2 linked regions of the Oreochromis niloticus genome follow. The protein of the gene in region 1 interacts with the protein of each later gene in a pairwise test. Links are inferred from orthologs where the notes say so. Each region holds a gene or a part of one and is shown in the gene's direction. Other genes may lie near its edges.

Region 1 (10,368 bases):
TGGATTTATTTTAAACACATTACTGTTTTTGATTAGGATGCCAAATTAAACCTTACATTCCTGAAAAAAATAATTTAGTGGTTGAGTGTTCTGCTTGATTAATTCCTGACTTCTCAGAGAGGTCCAGTGTGCCGGCTCAAATTTTGGTATAGAATCGTGAATCTTGATTTTAGGCAAGTACTTGTATTTGTTTGGCAGTTTATATAAGAGTCCATTGCATATATTTAGTATATCTATACATTGTTCTTCATTTTGTTGCTGTTGGTCCTGCTTAAAGAAAAAAAAAATGTGTTTATCTCGTTTCCTTCCTGAGAGACCCTGTTTCCGCAGTGGCACAAAGACTGGAAAATCCCCATCATTTAACACAGGCAACCTTTTGTACTCCACTATGAGACAGCATGGCCTGCTTGCAGACGAGAGTGCCTGTGCTTAGGATGAGTATGACTATTCTGATGGTTTTACTGACTCTTGGAAAAGGATTGGATATAAAGCAGCCTGGCCACTGCAGGGCCGTTTGCAGTCACTATGGCAAACCTGACTGCATAACTCTAAACCAAGGTGAAGTGGATTTTAAAACAGCTGAAGAGGCCTGCCATGACAGGAAAGGAGAACTTCTGCAGTTGTGCTCTAAGAATGATAAGAGGTTGTTTGACATTCTGAGCCAGGAATTGTTTGGGAACTACTGGATCGGGCTGCATTTACCAGCTGGTGCTTGCAGCAACCTCTCAGCTCCACTGAGAGGCTATAAGTGGATATCTGGCAGACCGGGCATCACCTTTCTTCCATCTTGGAATAACCACATTCAACTCTGCTCTCCACACTGCGTATCACTTTCAAGTGATGAAAAATGGACAGAGAGACCGTGCTCGGATAAAGCTGATGGGTTTATGTGCAAAGTTGAGCTCCAAGATGTATGCCGTGGACAAGAAGTATCGCATCCAACCTTTTTTCAAAGCTATAAAGGCTGTTCATCTGGACCATGTGAGCAGAACTGTGAGGATTTTAAGGGGGGTTACACATGCTCATGTTTCGAACAATATATACCAGACAACAAAGACCCCAGGCAGTGCAAACCACACTGTGCACAAAAAAGATGCCCTAGTATACAAGAGGCTGGCTATGACATATGTCCTGAAGGCTTTCTAAAGGTTGACGGTAACTTTTGTGAGGACCCTAATGAAGGTCCAGTCACAACTCCTCCCGTTGTAGCGTTTGTCAAACCACCCATCAGCAACAATACACTGAAGGCTTCTTCTGTTCCTGGGGTGCACTTTCTGTGGATTTTGATTGTGGTCGTTGTTGTCATTGGATCTATTTTTGTCATCAGGTTTTATGTAGTTAAGCGTTACAGGCAAAGAGAAAATTCTAATTGCAACAATGTTGTGACTTAATCATTACCCCAAAATGACAGAGTCCTCTGGCTCTTTGTTGTTTATCGTAGACTTGGGTATTCTTGGGTGTTGTCTCCTAGTTATTTAATGGTACACTCATGAACCTAAAGGTGTGGTCCACATCACTGGGAGCAGAAGACGCTAAATGTTTAAATGGCTTAACCAGTCAAAGTAGCTCTAACCTACACCTCCAATTACCGACTGGCCTCCAACTATTAGCTCCAGTCATATTTGCTTTCTCAGAAGCCTGACCAGCAGGCTGAGCCTATAGTCATTAATCATGCTTTAATTTGTGTGTTTTTAGTCAGAAAGGATTGTAGGTTAGATGAACAACTGGCCAGATGTATAGATGAACGTAAAGAATTCCAAATGTTTCACGTCTCATTTTTCCTTTTGGAAAACAAGAAAAGTGAGAACTACATTTGGATATATGAAACATTTTAACAGCTATCATTTTAGGAGGTTTACACCTTTATTTTATTACATAATTTCCGAGCTTATATGAAGGAAAACCAATGTGCTCTTGTTCTTGTTACTACTACTACTACTACATCATCATCATCATCATCATCATCTTTATTTCAGATATATACAACAAACCAATACACACACACACACACACTTGCATTTACATGTACAAATACGAATATATATGTACATACACACACGTTCTCAGACAAAAACAAAAGTTAAAATAAAATGAACAGATTCTAAATTACACGAAATGACAACCGTTAAGTCTGAAATGGAGTAGGAAGAAGTATGTTACATACTTATTCATCCCTACCCCACGCTCACTCTACTGAATCACCATATTCAGTGTTACCCCAACTTCCCCTCATCACTTATCCCACACAATAAGGAATGAAGGACAAGTATAAAGATAGCTACACTGATAGCTATAATTCAGATACAATTTGGCATAGTTATACATACACACTATCAGTCATCAACTTTATCAGTTTTGTATTCTTCCAAAAGCAGTTTTCGAAACATCTTTATGAACTGATTAATGCTTGAACATATAATATAGCAGTATATAAAATGGTACAGAGTATTCAAAAAGTAATCAAACAATTTTTACACTCCTTAACATACTTGTGTACTTCACGTACAGCATATGTATAAATATGTTCATGCTGACCTTTTTCTATAATCATTCATATTTGTACATTTAACTCCTTGCAAATGAGTTTTAAAGATATGACATGTGTATACTTTTATTTCAGGTCTTTTTTTGAGGTAATTTTATGGTCAGTTATGTGTCATGTTCAAGTGTGAGTTCATTCATATTTGCTCTTATAGCACCATCTACTGTCCTCAAGAACAAAGTGCTGAAAAAAGTATGGGAAGGCAGTCAGAACTGAGTCAAATTGTAATTTGGGAAATTACAGTTTGTTCCAACAGAAACAGAATTACTTAAGCTGTATCTTCTAATCACATAGCATTAGTAACAACTGTTTTAAAATATAAAATATCTCTAATATTAATTATTATTTTTGTTGTTATGGCCTTGAGACACTGTACACCTACATTTTTTAAAATGTATTTTTCTTAAGCAACATGTAATGAAACGTGCTGTATAAATAAAGAGACATGGACATCGTTGTAGGTGTATTGATCAATAAATTATCGGACTTGTGTTTTTCTTTCAATTTTATTTAGCAAAAAATTATTTGTCCCATTTTTTTCATCTGTTCGCGCTCACTGGCCACTTTAAGTACACTTGTTGAGCTACTCGTCACTAACAATGTCTGATCAGTCAATCAGAATTGAGCAACTCATTGCACCTAGGCATGTATACATGGTCAAGACAACCTGCTGAAGTTCAAACTGAGCATCAGTAAAGAGAAGGAAGGTTGTTTACGTGGCTCTGAAAGTGACACGGTTGTTGGTGCCAGACGAGCTGGTGTGAGTATTTCAGAAACTGCTGATCTGCTGGGATTTTAGAACACAACCATATCCAGAGTTTACAGATGATATATATGTGAAAAAATGAAAATATCCAGCGAGCGGCAGTTTACTGGCTAAAAATCCTTTGTTGATGTCAGAGCTCTAAGGGAAATTTCCAGGTCGCTTCAACAACCCATCAGCCGGTCTCCGGACTCTGTTTCTGCTGCAACATTTGTTTGCACATTTGCCTGAATACTGTTGACCATGTCCATCTCTTTATGAGCACAGTGTACCCCACTTCTGATGGCTCCTTCCAGTAGGATAACACCACATACCAAAAACTTTTAATCATCTCACTAGTTTCTCGAACATGACTTGTGTTCGCTGTACTCAAATGGCATCCACATTCACCAGATCTCAGTCAAACAGAGCACCTTTGGGATGTGGTGGAATAAAAGATTCACATGATGTGCAGCCGACAAACTGGCAGTAACTGTGTCAATCTTAAATTTGATTTGATTGATAGGAGGTGATTTCCAGCAAAGTTTGGCTCTGCGCTGGAAGTGGTGTCAATCACGGTCCTACTGAAAACAACACGTTGAAATGTAACCGTTTTCCCTTTCATCTGTTCCGCCATCTGACTAATCTCTGAACTTCACAGCACTCACTTCCTGTTTCAAGTTGTAACAAGAGCATTGACGCAATACTTCAGAAGGGATACAATGATTAATTTAACGCATACATTCAACAAACTGTATTAGAGTCTCTCTCTCATATATCTCTCACACACACACACACACACACACACACACCTGTGTGTACTCAGACTGGAACTTTGATCATCACTTATCTTTTCAGTGACTGTGTATACGGGCAGGTGACAAATTAAAGCAAAAACTAAACCACTGTTTGCTCATTCTGTTAAGCTTTGGGGTGCAATTTCTGGCCATGATTTAGGTCCATTTATTCTTTTAGAAGCAAAGATTATACAAAATGCTACAAGGTTGCTCTTAGGCTACGTTCACACTGCAATTCCGATTTTTTGATCAAATCCGATTTTTTTGTCTGCTTGTTCACACTACAAATAAAATGCGACAGCAAACGCGCTCTAGTGTGAACGCTCAAAGCGGCCCGCATGAGCAAAAGAAGATGTCACACACAACGCGCTCTGTTTAGACCCAGAGCAAACATTATTGTTTGACTGATGGCCCTTAATATTAAGCCTAAGGATACGTACACACTGCAGGCGAAAGCGCATCAAATCCGATTTTTTTTTTTTTTTTTTTTTTTTTTTTTTTTTTTTACCCTATGCGACCCATATCCGATCATGGTATGACAGTGTGAACGGCACAAATCCGATATTTTCAAATCCGATCTGGGTCACTTTCGTATGTGGTACTGAATCCGATACATATCTGATGTTTTAGAAGGCGACTGCTGTTTGAACGGTCATGTCGCATTAAATCCGTCTTTTACGTCACTGACACAAGACAGACACCAATTATCAGCGCCGGAGAAGCGCCCGAGAAGACATCGCGAACGCTTCCTGGCCATCCAGTGTAGATGTCAGTGAAACTGTTGGGAAGACAACGTGAACATTTTATTTGTACTGTATAATCTGCAGATTCTGACAGAAATCTGCAGCTATCCTTTGAAGCACCGCTCCTCTAAAACAGCAATAACGATAATTATTAGGTTATTTACATTATTATGTAAATAACAAAATAACTTAAAGCAAAAATTGGGAAACGTAAAGTCCGAAGTCTTTATATTAAGGGCCATCAGTCAAACAATATTGTTTAATCTGCTGTCGCATTTTATTTGTAGTGTGAACAAGCAGACAAAAAAAATCCGATTTGATCAAAAAAATCGGAATTGAGCATTAAGACCTGCAGTGTGAACGTAGCCTTAGTGATTTACTTTATGATCAACCATGACAATGCCCACATGCAAATGTCATGACGTGTCAGCGAGGATAAAAATGATCTGAATCATGTCCTGTGTCCTTCGCAGTGAGTCATTTTGTTCTCCACCACCATCATCAAAACAACCACAGGAAGGAATGTCTTTTTGGCAGACTAGACCAAAGGTGCATTAATGTGTGACTTCCTCTAGGCAGTGCTGTGCGTTCTTGCCAACTCCTGCTTAGGCTGAATTACATAACTATGCCTGTGTTCGAAGTCAGATCTGGATTTTTGAAAGTAGTAAGTGTGTATGTGTGCGTGAACAACCCATAAGGTAGTAGTGCAGTTCTGAAAAAACTGGAAGTTGCAAACCTTACCTAGCTCGCACTGGTTGTAGCTGACATGACCTCACCTCTACCAGTAAATATGGGTCCTACAGAACTAAATCCGCCAATCACAGCAGGAGGAGTTCACTTTGTTTGGAAGGGCACGAAAAGTGCCTAAGAGAGTCCTGAGATGATTTTATTCCATCTTTTTTTTTTTTTTTTTTTTTTTTAAATCACATTGTTCACCTACATTACACCCTGTGCACTTAACTACTGCAGCACTGTGCATTTCATTGTTAAAAAATGAAATTATTAGGATTTTAATTTTGCAAAAACCTCTTACTATGCATGTTTCGCAAGCAATGCGTCCAAACAGCATGATCAAACGATAGATGATGAAATGTTAAAGGGGGCGAGTCCTCTGTGCCACTGTTGGTGGGATTATATTCCCTGAGTAAAACCTTACAGGTAATGGGCTTCGTGAGCTCTACTTTATTTTAACATTATACTTAAATAAATACTTCTCCTCCAACGTCAAACATAACTTAATTTTAACTTTAATATGCACGTGTTGAGGTATTTAATTTAATTTTGATGGAATACAGTGTGGAACTTATCCTGGAAGGTAAGCTCAAGGGGAAAAATTGGCAACCTAGCAAAGCTTCACTCGAGTGACGTATTCCAATGCTAAACAGAAAAGGGGCGGGCTCCCCTTAGGTTATCCAATCAGAAAGTAGGCGGCGGTGCTCGACGGCGTGTCATTGGGTTAAAGTTTCTGTCTTAGGTTGTTCATATAAATAATAACATCTCGGCTAGCATGTGGCAAGCATACCTGTCAGAGAGGTAGCGTGTTTCCTCACCCAGTTAAAATAGTCCAAACTTGTTTGTCCGCTCAAACAGACACTCAGGTAGAGGTACAGGTACGGGCAGCAGTATGTCGGTCGACAGCGTGTTTAGGACCCGGTCTCTCGGTGTGGCAGCCGAAGGTCTTCCTGATCAATACGCCGATGGCAAAGCAGCGAAAGTGTGGCAGCTGTACATCGGAGACACGAAGAGCAGGACGCAGGAGTACAGGAGCTGGGTGGTGTCCCTGCTGAAGCAGCACGGGGTGCGGAGTGTGCTGGATGTAGCCTGCGGAACAGGGTAATGTCAGGTCAAATTAGCAGTCTTATTAGCACGTCTGACAGGGGCTTCAGCTCTGCTTCATCAAAATCCACTTAAAAATCGTTCGACTTAGTGTGTATCTATAAATATAATCAAATATAAAAAACATAAGCCAAAACGTTATGAAATTTCCATAACAAAATCTTAAATACGGCTTTATCCAAGTATCCCGAGCACGCTTTTGTTAATGGTTAAACTTTGATTTAAACTGCATATGCCAAACAAAAACCTGAGCTCACAATGATTCAGCAGGTGAACAGCTGCTGATGACGCCATAAATCGTGCCGATTCAGACTACATTATTGCTTTTCAAATATGTGAGAAGGTGTGACTCTTGTGTGATTCACAGTGATTGTGCAGCTTCAGAACAGAGTTGTGTAGGAGTAGCTGATAGTGATGATGGTGTTTGCTTCTTTGCTGTACTTGATAGATATGTGGGTAAAAACAAAGTGATTTCAGCTCACATAGGCCTTTTTGTACGTGTACCCAACTTTATAGCCGTTCAAGTGAGTTTGACTTTTGTGGAATTTCAACTCACTGACCCTTTTTAACTCGGGACAAAATCCGGATTAAGCCACAGAATAATGAATGAAAGTGCAGAGTTGCACCTGATCCTGAGCCACGTCCTGCCTCCTGCACTGGTCTGGTGTAGACACAGCGGGTTTACACATGCTGGTTAAATGTGATTCAGTTACAGAGGTGTAATATGTCTGTGACACAAGCTTGAAGCAGCAAGTGTTGTCCATTTAAATTTCCTGTTTCTAAAGCAAACTAAACACAAGCGAACCGTAAACTTGCACTTAGTAGGTCAGTGGGTGATGAACTAGTGCTGGGTAGCTGAAAGGAGTTTTGTCTGGTTTCCTGCAGTCTTTTTTATCTCCCTTGATACTCTGACTTTGCTCTCACACAGCAGCAAGGCCATTGCCCAAGCACAGACAAGCAGACCATATACGTCACCTCAGCTGTTGTTTTTCTCATGGAGAATTTTCACTGGAGATGCATTCTAACCATTTTATTGTTTGATGTTTATCATAAATGTACCTTTTTTTTCTTTGCTCATCACTTAGCACTCATTTCACCTGCTAATCAACATTACAGAGCTTATAATGTTCATGTCAGAACTGCAGTCATCTCCATAATAACTCAGCTCCACATCTCAGGCCACATGGTTGTCTTCCTACGGTGTGGAGCACCCCAGCACATTGATTCTGACCCCATTCCCTAGTAGTGGTGCGCCTCAGTAGTGCAGCAGCCTCAAAGTAAACATATTCCTCGTGGATCACGGTTACAAATAGCTATTTTTGGCAGCCAGAGTGCGTTTGTGGTGCTTTCTAATTCTGAGAAGAAGCTGCAGGCTGTGGATCGTCATCACCTTCACCTGAACCTGTGAGAGTTTTTTAATTTAGGATTCCATAGGTTGAGGCAGGAAGTCTTATGTATAACTGCAGAATGGATAGGCATACAGACAAATTAAAGGGAAACCATGAATCCCTGACTCATACCTTAAGGATTATGCTGGATCTGTTAAGTTGAGGCCTTCACAGTCACCAGACTCACAGTTGAACCAAATAAAAGGGCCATCTTTTAGAGGAAATGGTGTTGATCCCTCTTGTAGAGGCATCGAGTCCTTTGAGATTTGATGCCAAGATGAAAACTAAAAGATGTGAATTTGCTTTTAGCCTAAGACTTTGTTTAATCCAAAACTGGAAAACTGGCTGTTCTTTTTACATAAGCTTTGTTTTGCTGTTATCTATTATCTTGCAGTTACCCGGTAGATGTTAATGATTTCTGCATTATTGTCCATTGAATCCCTCCCCTGTTGCACTGAAACACGTCTGTATTGTTTATTATTAACTCATAAATAGCAGAGAAAACATTTTTGAAAGTCAGTCAGTAGCATCTATTCAGGCTGTGGTTTGGCCCGCGATCACGTTTTCCTGTCAGGTTTTCAAAACAGTAGTAGCTTCTCGCTACCATACAAATCATCTCTCCTTACCTGTGACAAGGTTACAATTCCTGTCTGTAGTGTGACGATAAGCTTATCAACCTACTACTAAACCACATGTAGTGCGGTCGCAGCAAACACACACTCGCACTCAGACTTGATCAAACTGTTTTTTCAGGGGAAGATGACAGCAGGGATTACCCTCAAAATCTAAACACACCTACTGCACCAAATCATGATCCTCACAGGTCGGTTGTTGTTTTTAAACGTATTCATGGATTTTGTTTTCCAGGATTGACTCCATTATGTTGGTGGAGGAGGGGTTTAATTTGGTGAGTGTGGATGCCAGCGACAAAATGCTCAAGTATGCACTGAAGGCGAGATGGGACAGGAGAAAAGAACCAGCTTTTGACCAGTGGGGTATGAAAATTAAAAAAATATATATTTACTGAATCGGTCAGTTCCACAGATTTAGATTCTATTTGTGTCAGTAATCAAATCATATTTGCCAAGCATTTTGTGACAGTCTTTGTGAGCCTCTCGTCCTCACCATTAGCTCAAAGTCCACCATCTTGGACCACAGCTGGAGACAGCAGTCCTTGTTCTTCCCTGCTGTCTCTGTGACCTCTGCAGAGCAGCACAAGCTGCAGGTTCTGATCCCCAAGTGGAATATTAGAGCAGAACAAGGACTACAGAGTCTAGCTGCAGTACAAGTTGAGCTGGAGCAGCTCCAGTCGTGGGATGAGATCCTCTCCAAAGAAGCAGCTGAAGGATATTGAAGCCAGTGAGCCAACTGGTAGTTAAAGCATGAGATAAGGGCCAGGGCGAGTTGCTAGGGGATTGTTAACTAGTAAATTGATCTCTCATGAATCAATGGAAAATAACCTAAAATGAGTTGCCAAAAATATTTTAGTGAAAGAATTGAAGAAGTGACACAAATGAAGCATTCGTCAGAGAATTTGCATCCTAACATAAAGTTAAGTTCATCAACAGAGCAACATCAGTGGAAGTGATGGCAGGGTAAGCTTAAAGTTGAAAAGCTAAGCAATCAGTATGACGTTTAGTCACGGACCTTCTTATAGTAATAAAACAGAAAGACTGTGTGGTGTTTGTTTTGCATTGGCTGCCATGCTTGGGTTGATCCCAATAAAGCCCTGTGTGTGGGCAGCACTCTCAGTTGTTTTATTTGTCTTAAACTGTTGGAAAGTGCGCGCATGTTTGTGGTGGATATCTACATTTCCTCTGGATACCTCATGTTCTGCTCTTTTCTTTCTCGTCTTCAGTGATTGAAGAGGCCAACTGGCTGACTTTATCAGAAGACATTCAGAAACCAGGAGATGGCTTTGATGCAGTTATCTGCCTCGGCAACTCATTTGCCCACTTACCAGACTTTAAAGGTACACAAATAATAAAAGTGTTGTTAATTTTGTGGGTGAGATTAAGGGCTTTTCCTCTGGGCCTTTCAAAACATCTCATTATGCCTGGACTTGGCAAACGTAGGCATTAGAGTTTAAGTTTATACCAGGCTCATACCAGCCTGTGTGGGTGCACCTCTGAACACACCCAGCGATGATGTTGCAGTGCCCTGGAGTGCCCTTTCACCTCACTGCAGCAGGGTGTGGAGGCATGGCAAGCCCATACAGGATCTGTCTGAAACGATTTATCCCACAACCTTTGTCCCACAGATTATGAGAGATTATGAGAGACATGCATTTGTGGGAAAAAAAATGTGTCCAAATAATTTT
Region 2 (9,599 bases), on another chromosome or scaffold:
AAAAGACTCCCGGAACGTACAAGTGTTATGAAGCAGAAATGATCCACAGAGACCGAACAGTTTGTGTATCAGGCTGGAAACAGGTTCTCTTCGCTGTAACGTCTGTGAGGTGGACTCACTGCTGCCTCTGCTGGACGTCAGAGGAACCGCAGGTTTGGGTTTAAAATCCAGAGCTTTGTCAGTCCATTATAGTCGGTGTCAGCTGACTTGCTCTTTGACTCCTTGTTACATCCACCAGAGGAACTTCACAATCTCAGGTTAGGCGAAGCATGAAAGAGCCTACTAACAGGAAGCTGGATCAAAACATCAGCTTATTTGTCCCACAGATGATGCTTATCGATGAAGAATCACACATTTGCATTCCCAGTATCAGACTGAGAACTCAGGGTTCCTCAGTGTCAGGACTTTGCTGGGACTTTGACCAAATTAAATATTTTGGAGACTAGAGACAATTTGACCAGCTGGTGTTCCGATCCATAATCCTCCACCAGTGTGCTGAAAGCCTGTGGCGATGGAGGACTCATACGAGGGTAAAGGCTCAAAAACTAGGCTCTCACTGACGAGCCCCTTTCCTAGATGGGGCAATGAGACTGGGTCCCACCAATGACACCATAACACGGGGAAGTCGTCCCCAACGAGGCAGCTCATGCATACTAATGGTGTAGCTTCATGGAAGGACCACCATGTGGATGTGTGCTTGTCAAGACATTTTCCGTGTCTGCGAATCTGCTAGTGATGTAAATTTCTTCATGAGATGGTGAGCTGATGATTGGTGTGGATGTCTTCACGCCTGCCTGACCAATCTGCAGAGACCAACTATGCGTACGCCCCTGGTGACGCACTTCAGAGAACTATAACAGGAATGACTACTGAGTCATCGTCTCTCCAACGCTTACAAGAGACAAACAATGACAAAGTGTGCGGCTTAAAATATGTCAGGACATTCTTCAGGTGTGCGATCAGGTCGAGATGCAGCAATATGTGCGTCAGACCCAGAGACGCAGAGACGTCCAAGAAAAGGGTGAAAAAACATCCCTGGAGTTTTCAGTTTGGTAATATTTTGATCAGTCGACTCAAACCTGTGATGAGTCCCACACATATGAAGCCTAAACAACTAAATTCTCCCCCAAAATATCTTAAAACTGACTTTTGTGGCACAACAACAGTAGCATTCTGAAAGTTTACTCCAGGTTCCAGCTTTGCTGCTGTTGCCACTGCTGCTTGCTGTTTTGTGTGAAATGCATTCTGGGATACTTGGCTTTCCCAAATCACCACCCTTGATGCCCTGAGGCTGTTTCACAAGTACGAGCACCAATGCAGACAGTGACGTGTGTGAAGGCTCCTCGTGGCGGTACACGGTGAGGACCGGTCAGAGGCTTTAGTGTTGCACTCAGGACACACGTGTTTCTTATTTTGTTCCTGTGTAGGGTTTATACACAGTTCTCCAAACGTACTTGGACGGTTGATGAAGGAGCACTTTGATCAGCAAGCGAGGCCTGTTCCCTCGTTATTCCACGAGAATTTAAGCAGGTTAAGTGTTGAACTTGTTTGCTCTTAAATACTAAAGCTGAAGGCAGAGACCCACAAACAGCAAGCAGCTGAATGAGGAAGTGTGGCATGTGGCAGTGTCCTGCTGTTGACTGCAAAACACTTTCACCCAATGAAAATATCATAAAAGTTGGAAACTTTGTTAGTCTGTGCGCCTGAAAATGGGGCTGTGTTTAAAATCCACCGTGGTGCACAGACTGGCTCCTGTACCCATTTGGACTGAATTTAAATGTGAAGCATGGTGCTTCACGCTTGCAGGAACCAACTGAACCTCCCTGAGTTTCCACAGACCAGTGCAAACGTTCAGCGGCTTCAGTTCTTGTTGCAGAAAGCAGATGAGTCTTGATTTGTGGTTAAATAGTGAAAAAATGACCTCCTGCATCTTCTCTAATCACATTTCCTTGACCTCAGTGGAAGGGAAGTAAAGATGTGAAGGACTGTTTACGAGGACTTGAAGAGGAGGACTGCGGCACTCTGAGAATCAGCTGTGGCTTGCAGGCTCTGCTGCGGTGAAACTACAAAGTCCTGCGGATGGACTACAAAAAGCTCCTCTCAGATACCTGCTGTGCTCTCATTGGTTGCTGTGTACAGACGGTGTGCACACAGTAACACGATGAGAGCTCACCTGTGGTCGCTCAAAGATGGCCGTCATCGGGTGGAAAACTCAGCAGTAAGTCACATGATGGCCTGTTTGTTTTCCTTTAAGGTCTGATGGGTCGTTGCTGTGAATTGTGGGATGCCATCATCTCCTTTCCTTTCATAAAGGAAACTCTGATGCATCCTTTACTAAAGGAGGTAATAAAGGAAGCTTCAGCTGCTTCCAAGCTGCTCACAGTCTGAGGTTAAAGCTGCGGCGACCCTCGTAGCATAGACAGCAGCAGAAAGTCGGCCCAAAGCCTCCGTTTCCTGCTTTATGTGAGCAGCAGGAAGAAATCTTCCAGCTGAGTGCGCTCCACCCCGCAGACCTCAGCAGTGTCGCAGAAACACTTCACCAGATGAAATAGACGAACCGAGCACGCTGCAGGTGCAGTGATTTCCCCCACTGCTCCACACTGCTTCTGCAAAACTGGTGCTAATGTAGCACAGACTCCTCATTCTGCCCCCTACTGGCAGGTGAATTAAACACATATACACAAGCACAGCGCCGGGAAAATACCCTGCACGCGTGCCACATTCCTCGCAGCAAAGCTGTCCAGTTAAAGTTGAGTGCTGGCTATAAAACCCATCAGGATGAAATATAACCGCGTGTGATGAAAACGTTAATCATTTAATGGCGATGACGAGCAGACGCACCTGAAAGTGGCGTGCAGGTTTATCACTGCTGCATGTCACGATCACGGTGTGACATAACCACAGTGAAGCTTTCACACAGGCTTTCATAACAGACTGAAAACAACCCGTTACCCTATCCACTCTAAAATATTAGCTCATAGCCAGAATGTCTTCAGAACTTCAAACCAGGTGAGTAGTACTGTAATACACCTGAGCCTGTTAGCTACCGTGATGCTGTTGAAACCAGGCAAGTACCAACAGCAGGTTTCTCCTCAGACCGAGGGTGGAGGTCGGGAGTCCTGGATGAGGTTCTTTAGCTCATCTTACAGCTGGTGGGGTATGACATCATCATTCAGGTTCTGATGTTGGTTCTGGTACTTTTTGCCCCCTTCATGATCGATGCCAGCGTCCCACAGGGATGGAGTCCTGGTCTTTTATCCATCAGCTGTGTAAGCGCCGCATGATTGCCTCGGGTCTCCTTGTGGACTTGCTGGCTAAGCTTAGCTTTGGGGTGTTTTTGGAACTGTTAGGGTCTTGTGACGTGATGACACATTTCTTTAGCTGGTCTGAGACGGCAGCACTCTTTCGTCTTATGTGTCTTATTTGTCTTTTTTCATGGATGTGGACAGTGTGCATCCTGTAACTCATCAGTGCTACTCACCCTGCAGGTGTGTCCTCAGTGACAGAGCTGCCATGATGCACTGGCAGCACCACCTCTTTAATCTACAGCACTGTGCAAAGGTTTTAGGGAGGTGAAGAAAAATGCTGTAAACAAAATAAAAGTTTTCATTTATCATTTATTCTCATCCATCAACAAAATGCAGTGAATAAACAAAAGAGAAATCAGTATTTGGTGTGAGCACCCTTTGCCTTCTTCTAGGTCCACTTGCACACAGTTTTTGAAGGAACTCGGCTGGTAGGTTGTTCCAAACGTCTCAGAGAACTAAGCAAAGATCTTCTGTGGATGTCAGCTTCCTCACATCCTTCTGTCTCTTCTTGTAATCCCAGACACACTCCATGATGTTGAGATCAGGGCTCTGTGGGAGCCGTACCATCACTTCCAGTACTTGTTGTTCTTCTTCATGCTGAAGATAGTTCTTAATGACTTTGGCTTTGTGTTTGGGGTCGTTGACCCCAAAGGCAGAATACATCTGGGGCCAATAAACAATCATTTATATTTCTGAAACCATTCTTTGTTTACAGCATTTTTTCACACCTGCCTAAAACCTTTGCACTGTACTGTATTTCAGGCCAAACTGAGCACGCTCAGATGCAACAGGGACTTTTTGGCTTATTGATGAGGAGCGGCTTTGGTTCCTGCACATCTTTAGTCAGTTGCTGGTATAACATAGCTGCGTGGTTTTTTGCATATATCTCTTAATATTTGTCTGAGAGAGTCTGGGCTGAGATCAGGTGTCTTCTTCAAACAGCTGCTTGCGTATATCTGCCTGCACTTCAGAGCAGTCCTCCTCTAAACCACCTTAAAGATCTGCTTAGACTTCTGCACCCGCCATCAGAGCCCGGATTGGCTGAGACGTTAAAGGGTCACCGTCCTGTGACATGAAGTCCTTTCTGAGTACGGAGGACGTAGCGACACAGCGGCTGCTGATGGACGCTCAGCCTCTGCCTCTCTGACTGTTGGTCATCTGACACAGGCGCGCACACGCACACACACACACACACACACACGTCCTTTTCTCTCAGTTTGTGACTCGCAGTAAAACGAAGCTCTAATAAAGGAGACGTGCAGAAACGTGTTGCCGTGTTCATTCTGATGGTGAATGTGGCGGCGGAGCGTTTCTGCGCTGCGGTTGCCGTCGTCTTGTGTCTGAGTGGGTTTCTGTGTTTTCGGGCTCAATGATCTGAATGAGTCGCGTCGGGAGAATATTAACGAGCTCTGCTGATCAGTCAGACATACAGAGCAGCTCTGGAGACTCTCTGAGGAGTTTTTCACAGGAAGCAGCGTCAGTCCCAGAATCTGTTTGAGTGTTTGTGTGGAGCATAAGTGGACAGGACTGAGCCACGTCACGCTCTCAGGTTTGTTTGTGACTCGTTTAATATTCACATACGACCGCTGTACACATCAGGAGGGAGGAAATGAAAAGGTGCTGTTCCACGCAGAGCTCTGCTGTACCTGCTCTGACACGTTCTGTTCGGGGATTTTGGTCCACATGATTATGACATCAATGTGACATCAGCACACAGCTGCTGCAGATTTTCCGTCTGCATCCGTGATGAGAATCTCCCGTCCCTGCTCTGAGTGCATCGAACGGATCGTTCAGGAAGCCTGTGTGAGGAGATCTGAGCGCTGAGACGGTCACACCTGCAGCAGCTGAACGCAGATGCAAATCGACGCTCATCAGACCAGGACGTGTTTTTCCACCTTCTGTGGTCCAGCTTTGTGAGTCTGTGTGAACGTTAGCCTGAGTTTCCTGTGCTGAGCTGAGCAGCAGCGGTGTGGTCTTCTGCTGCTGCTGCTGTGGCCTCAGAGATGCTCTTCTGCATCCTGTGGTTGTTTGAGTGACCACTGCGTTCCTTCAGCTTGACTCTTACCGGATATTTCCTCTTTTACTTTTGGTTGGTGTATTTTCGTGGTATTAGTACTTTAACTGCAGTGAGGACCGGCTTTAAAAAACAAACAACGGGCTGGATTTCAGCATCGTCTTTATTTTATATCTGCTCATTTAGTTTTATATAAAGCATTTAGATTTCGCTCAATGTTAGAAGGTGCTGTAGCAATAAAGCTGTCAGCAGTAAGTGTGATCAGCAGCTCATTGATTAATGCTGCAGTCAGGCTATGCCAGGCCCTAAAAGTAATTACGGGGATTTTAAAGTCAAAGCTAAAGTTGGCAGGAGGACCTGAGGAGTCAGCTGATTCACGGAGCCTCCAGGAGCTTTTCCCAGTTTTTAACACATGGAACAAACAATAAATCACCTGAGAAAGTAACGGGACTCTGAGAGCTGCAGGTTCCAGCCTGCTTTTCACAGAGTTTCATGTTTAATAGAAAATGTAATAAAGGGTTTCTGTTTGAACTGGCTGCTCGTGTAAACGCTGCTCCTCCGTGGTGTCTGTGGGAAAGCTCCAGATGGTCTGGGTTGATTTTGACTAAATGAGACCAAAGCAGCTTTAAAATGTTACCGCACTGCTGGTTCCTCTTCGGTTCTTGGTGAAACGTCTTCGGTGACTGATTTCCACAATCGTTCAGGTGTGTGAGTCAGGACACTGAAAATGTCTCTTTATTTCCCCACAGTGGGTTAAATTTTCACACTGTGCTCACAACTGTTTGAAGCTCCAGATGTTTGTAATGGCTGCCAGATGTTTCTGTTGGATTCCCGTGTTTCCGGTGCCATGAGGTAAGCACTGATAAACGCGGGACGTCCCTCCCCTCTGCAGCCCAGAGACATCTGTGATCTCCGGATATAATCTGAAACCGGCTCAGGCTCAGAGGAGGCGACGGACTTTCTGGATCTTGTTCCTGTGCGTGGCCGAGGCTGATCTTCACGTGTTCATGCTGGTGGTTTTCATTCATGTTCCTGAGCCCAGCAGAACCAGGTCCGACTTTAATCCTGAGCCGGTCGAGGGCCAGAACGAAGGTGCAGCTCGGTGGTCACACTCCAGTTAGAGAAACCCGGCGGTCGTACATCTGAGGAGGCGAGAAATGCCGGTTTGAGTCTTTGCTGCAGTTTGGGTATCGAGGGAGTCTTCAATCATCGGCCGTCTGCTGCTGCAGAGCTGACACAACAATCAGGCATCGATCGGGCAGTTAGCGTTCCCCCTGTGTCAGAGCGGCCGATCGATCAGCGGCGCTGCTGCTTCACCTGCACAAACCTCGAGCGAACCAAGAAGTGTGAGAAAATCTCAAAGGTACCAAACTTATTCCTGATACAGAAAAATAGCAAATGAATCTGTGAAAGTTCTTCCAACAGACGGTTGCATTGAAGGATCCATGTTTTTTATTGTGACAGAAATGTCTCTGTACGCGTCAATATTCATCAATATTCAGGATTATTGATTAAAAACAAACATCAGTTTGAGTGATAACAACAATAAAACCAACAACAAGGAGCAATGATGATGCATCAGAGCGTTTGGGGTGTGCAGTCACGCACATCACTCTCTTACACAGGAAGTGTGTTTATTCAGGTGTGAACGAGCCTCAGAGGGACTGGCGTCACTTTGGGTGAACCTGAGCAGTGGCGTGAAAACAGGAAAGAGCAGGAAGACGTCAGAACCCACATCAGGTGTTTTGCCACACGTGACGTCTTTGATTTCAGCTTGTTGTTCGGTTCAGTGGTGGTTCTAAACAGATGTACCTGTCCAGGTGCTTCACTGTGTGGCAGCAGCTTTGGACCCTGAGAGCGAAAAGAGGAAAAATGTAATAATATTTGCTCTGACTTCTCGGTTGTCTCTGAGCTGTCTTGGCGTCTTTGATGTGATAAAGTCGTTACTCGTGTTCAGATGAAATGTGAGCCCCTCTCGTGCTGTAACCCTGCACTGATTCACGTCTGTGCGATGAAGCTCTAACCGCATCCTCGGCTCTGAAGATTCAGCTCTGCTCTCTTTCAATGAATCTTTAATCGTGTTTACACTCTCTCAGACGCTCACTTCCTGTTACCGAAGCTTTCAGCATCTTTTCTCTCATTTCACACAAACACCAGCATTTATATGTCCAGTGTTTAGCACAGCGGCTTGTGAGGATGTCGTGTTTTGTCCCTGCGGCCGTCTGAAGCCGACACGTTCGCTCAGCTGTGATTAAAAATCAAGAAGAGATCAAGTTTAAGCAACCTAGGTTGATAAACGTCTCTGCTGTCGCCGTCACGGAGCCGGTGTTTTACCTCCAGCCGCTCAGCCTGATTTGTGATTTCAGATGGCAGAGCTGCTCCGTGTTAAAGTTTAATTGGCCTAATTGCAGAGAGTGTGGTGAGCAGGTGATCGTGCAGTGGGCAGCTCCCAGGAGTCCCTCCGGTTTCCGGCTAAAAACGGCGTCCCGATGCTGCTGATTGATGAAGAGCCACTCAGGAGGAAGCTGAAAGCTAATGGAGCCACAGCAGCTAATTTATGACAACATTAACGTGGGGGGAGGAGAGGGGGGTCATGCTGTCGGGCAGCATTAGACAGAGATGCAGAGAGGAAGCTGCTGACGGCACACCCTCTGTAATATGTGACTGTGCAGAGTCCCAGCAAACATCAGACACCATCCGGTGAGCGCTCCGACACTCACAGCCCGGCTGAAGCCAGACTTACTCTCTCAACATGTTCAGATTTTCTTCTTGCTTCGCTCTCAGCGCAAAAATCTGCACAGCTGTGGACACGATGAGAGCTCTGCTGGTCACAGCCTGGTGCTCATCATCGCTCTGCTCTGACACGATACACAAAACAGGCGCAAAGTAGCTTCTAATAATGAATATGATGATGCATGCTCAGTCATCCAGGTAAGGAAATCCCAAAAGGTTGATTCTGTTCATCTGGATGTTTTCAGGTTTCCAACCTTATAAACAGTACGTTTGGACTGCCACTGTTCATTCAGTGGGTAGTGTCACTGTGACTGAGGTTTGAGTCTCTGCTGAAAATGCTGCGTCCACATGAACAGAATCAACATTTTGGGGTTCTCATAATGAAGATGATGTTTGTGATGTTTGGGTCCTGTGTGGAGACCGGGGCCTTCCCGAGGCTCTGCCGGGTGCAGGCAGGACGCCTCCTGCCACCTTCAGTTTCACTCAGTCAGAAAAAGAAAAGAGATGGAAACCGGAGTCCAGCAACGTGTCAGACAGTGTTGGGAAGGTTACTTTTAAAATGTCTACATTCTTTAGGGCTAAGCCTGTAACACTCTGCCTATTGATTTCATATTAAATTATTTTTTGAATAATAATTTTCAAAAATATTTCGTCACGTTCTTATGCGGCTGCAGTAGAGGTGACATGGGCCGTGAGAGTGAGACACAGGCATTAGAGCCTCTTAATGCGTGTTTTGTTTGGGTTTCCACCGGCGTGGAATTACCAAAAATAGAGAGGGGACAGCGTAACATATGACACAGGAAGTGACCGCTGTGTAATCCCTTTATTTCAACAAAGTAACTGTATTCTGGATAGCACCTTTTTAAACGGTAACGTAATGCCGGCACATGTATTCTGTTACTCCCCAACACTGGCCTTCGGAGGACCAGCAGCAGTGAACGCAGCTCAGGACTGGAGCACATCTGCGGGGTTAGGAGCAACACGAGCTTCACGAAGCCCAAAATACATCAACACCAACATCTGGCAGCACACCTGGACTCGCTCAGCTTGGGTAGTCTGAGTTTTCTGGGCAGTTTTAATACTTCCAGGAGCATTTTACAGGCAGGGGTCATGTGAGAAATCACTTCTGCTGCTAAAACAGAAGAAATTCAAACAATTTAAACGTTATTCCTGAAGTGTGGCGCGCTCTGTTTCACTGTTTCCAGACTTTTCTTGGACAGTTTTATTTAAAAGTATGATAAACACAAACAGTGTGACCTGTGCTCTTCTCTCTGTCTGCAGAGTGTTTAAGAAAGCCAGCCCCAATGGAAAGGTGAGTCCTCCTTTAGCACAGTGCAGGTGTGAGAGTTTGCTGATGCCCGAAACAGCAGCGACACTTTCAGGCTGATTAACAGCAGCTCTTCCTCCCTCAGCTCACCGTCTACCTGGGGAAGAGAGACTTCGTGGACCACGTGGATCGGGTGGAGCCCGTCGGTGAGATCTTGTTCAGTCGGTGGTTCGATCCCGGAGCTTCACTCACATTTAAATTTAAGTTGATTTTTGAA

The links.
Region 2: the proteins of gnmt (region 1) and arrb1 interact in binary tests that used the Homo sapiens proteins (3 or more experiments, as listed by UniProt). The link is inferred for Oreochromis niloticus from reciprocal best matches to the Homo sapiens genes GNMT and ARRB1.

What each region holds. Positions count from the first base shown.
Region 1 is NC_031983.2:26,630,955-26,641,322, forward strand, and holds the start of gnmt (glycine N-methyltransferase), read left to right. Parts: upstream 1-6,064; 5' UTR 6,065-6,448; coding exon 6,449-6,657; intron 6,658-8,915; coding exon 8,916-9,043; intron 9,044-9,906; coding exon 9,907-10,020; intron 10,021-10,368. UniProt on the Homo sapiens protein: Catalyzes the methylation of glycine by using S-adenosylmethionine (AdoMet) to form N-methylglycine (sarcosine) with the concomitant production of S-adenosylhomocysteine (AdoHcy), a reaction regulated by the binding of 5-methyltetrahydrofolate.
Region 2 is NC_031979.2:38,769,088-38,778,686, forward strand, and holds the start of arrb1 (beta-arrestin-1), read left to right. Parts: upstream 1-4,902; 5' UTR 4,903-5,162; coding exon 5,163-5,221; intron 5,222-9,336; coding exon 9,337-9,367; intron 9,368-9,467; coding exon 9,468-9,528; intron 9,529-9,599. UniProt on the Homo sapiens protein: Functions in regulating agonist-mediated G-protein coupled receptor (GPCR) signaling by mediating both receptor desensitization and resensitization processes.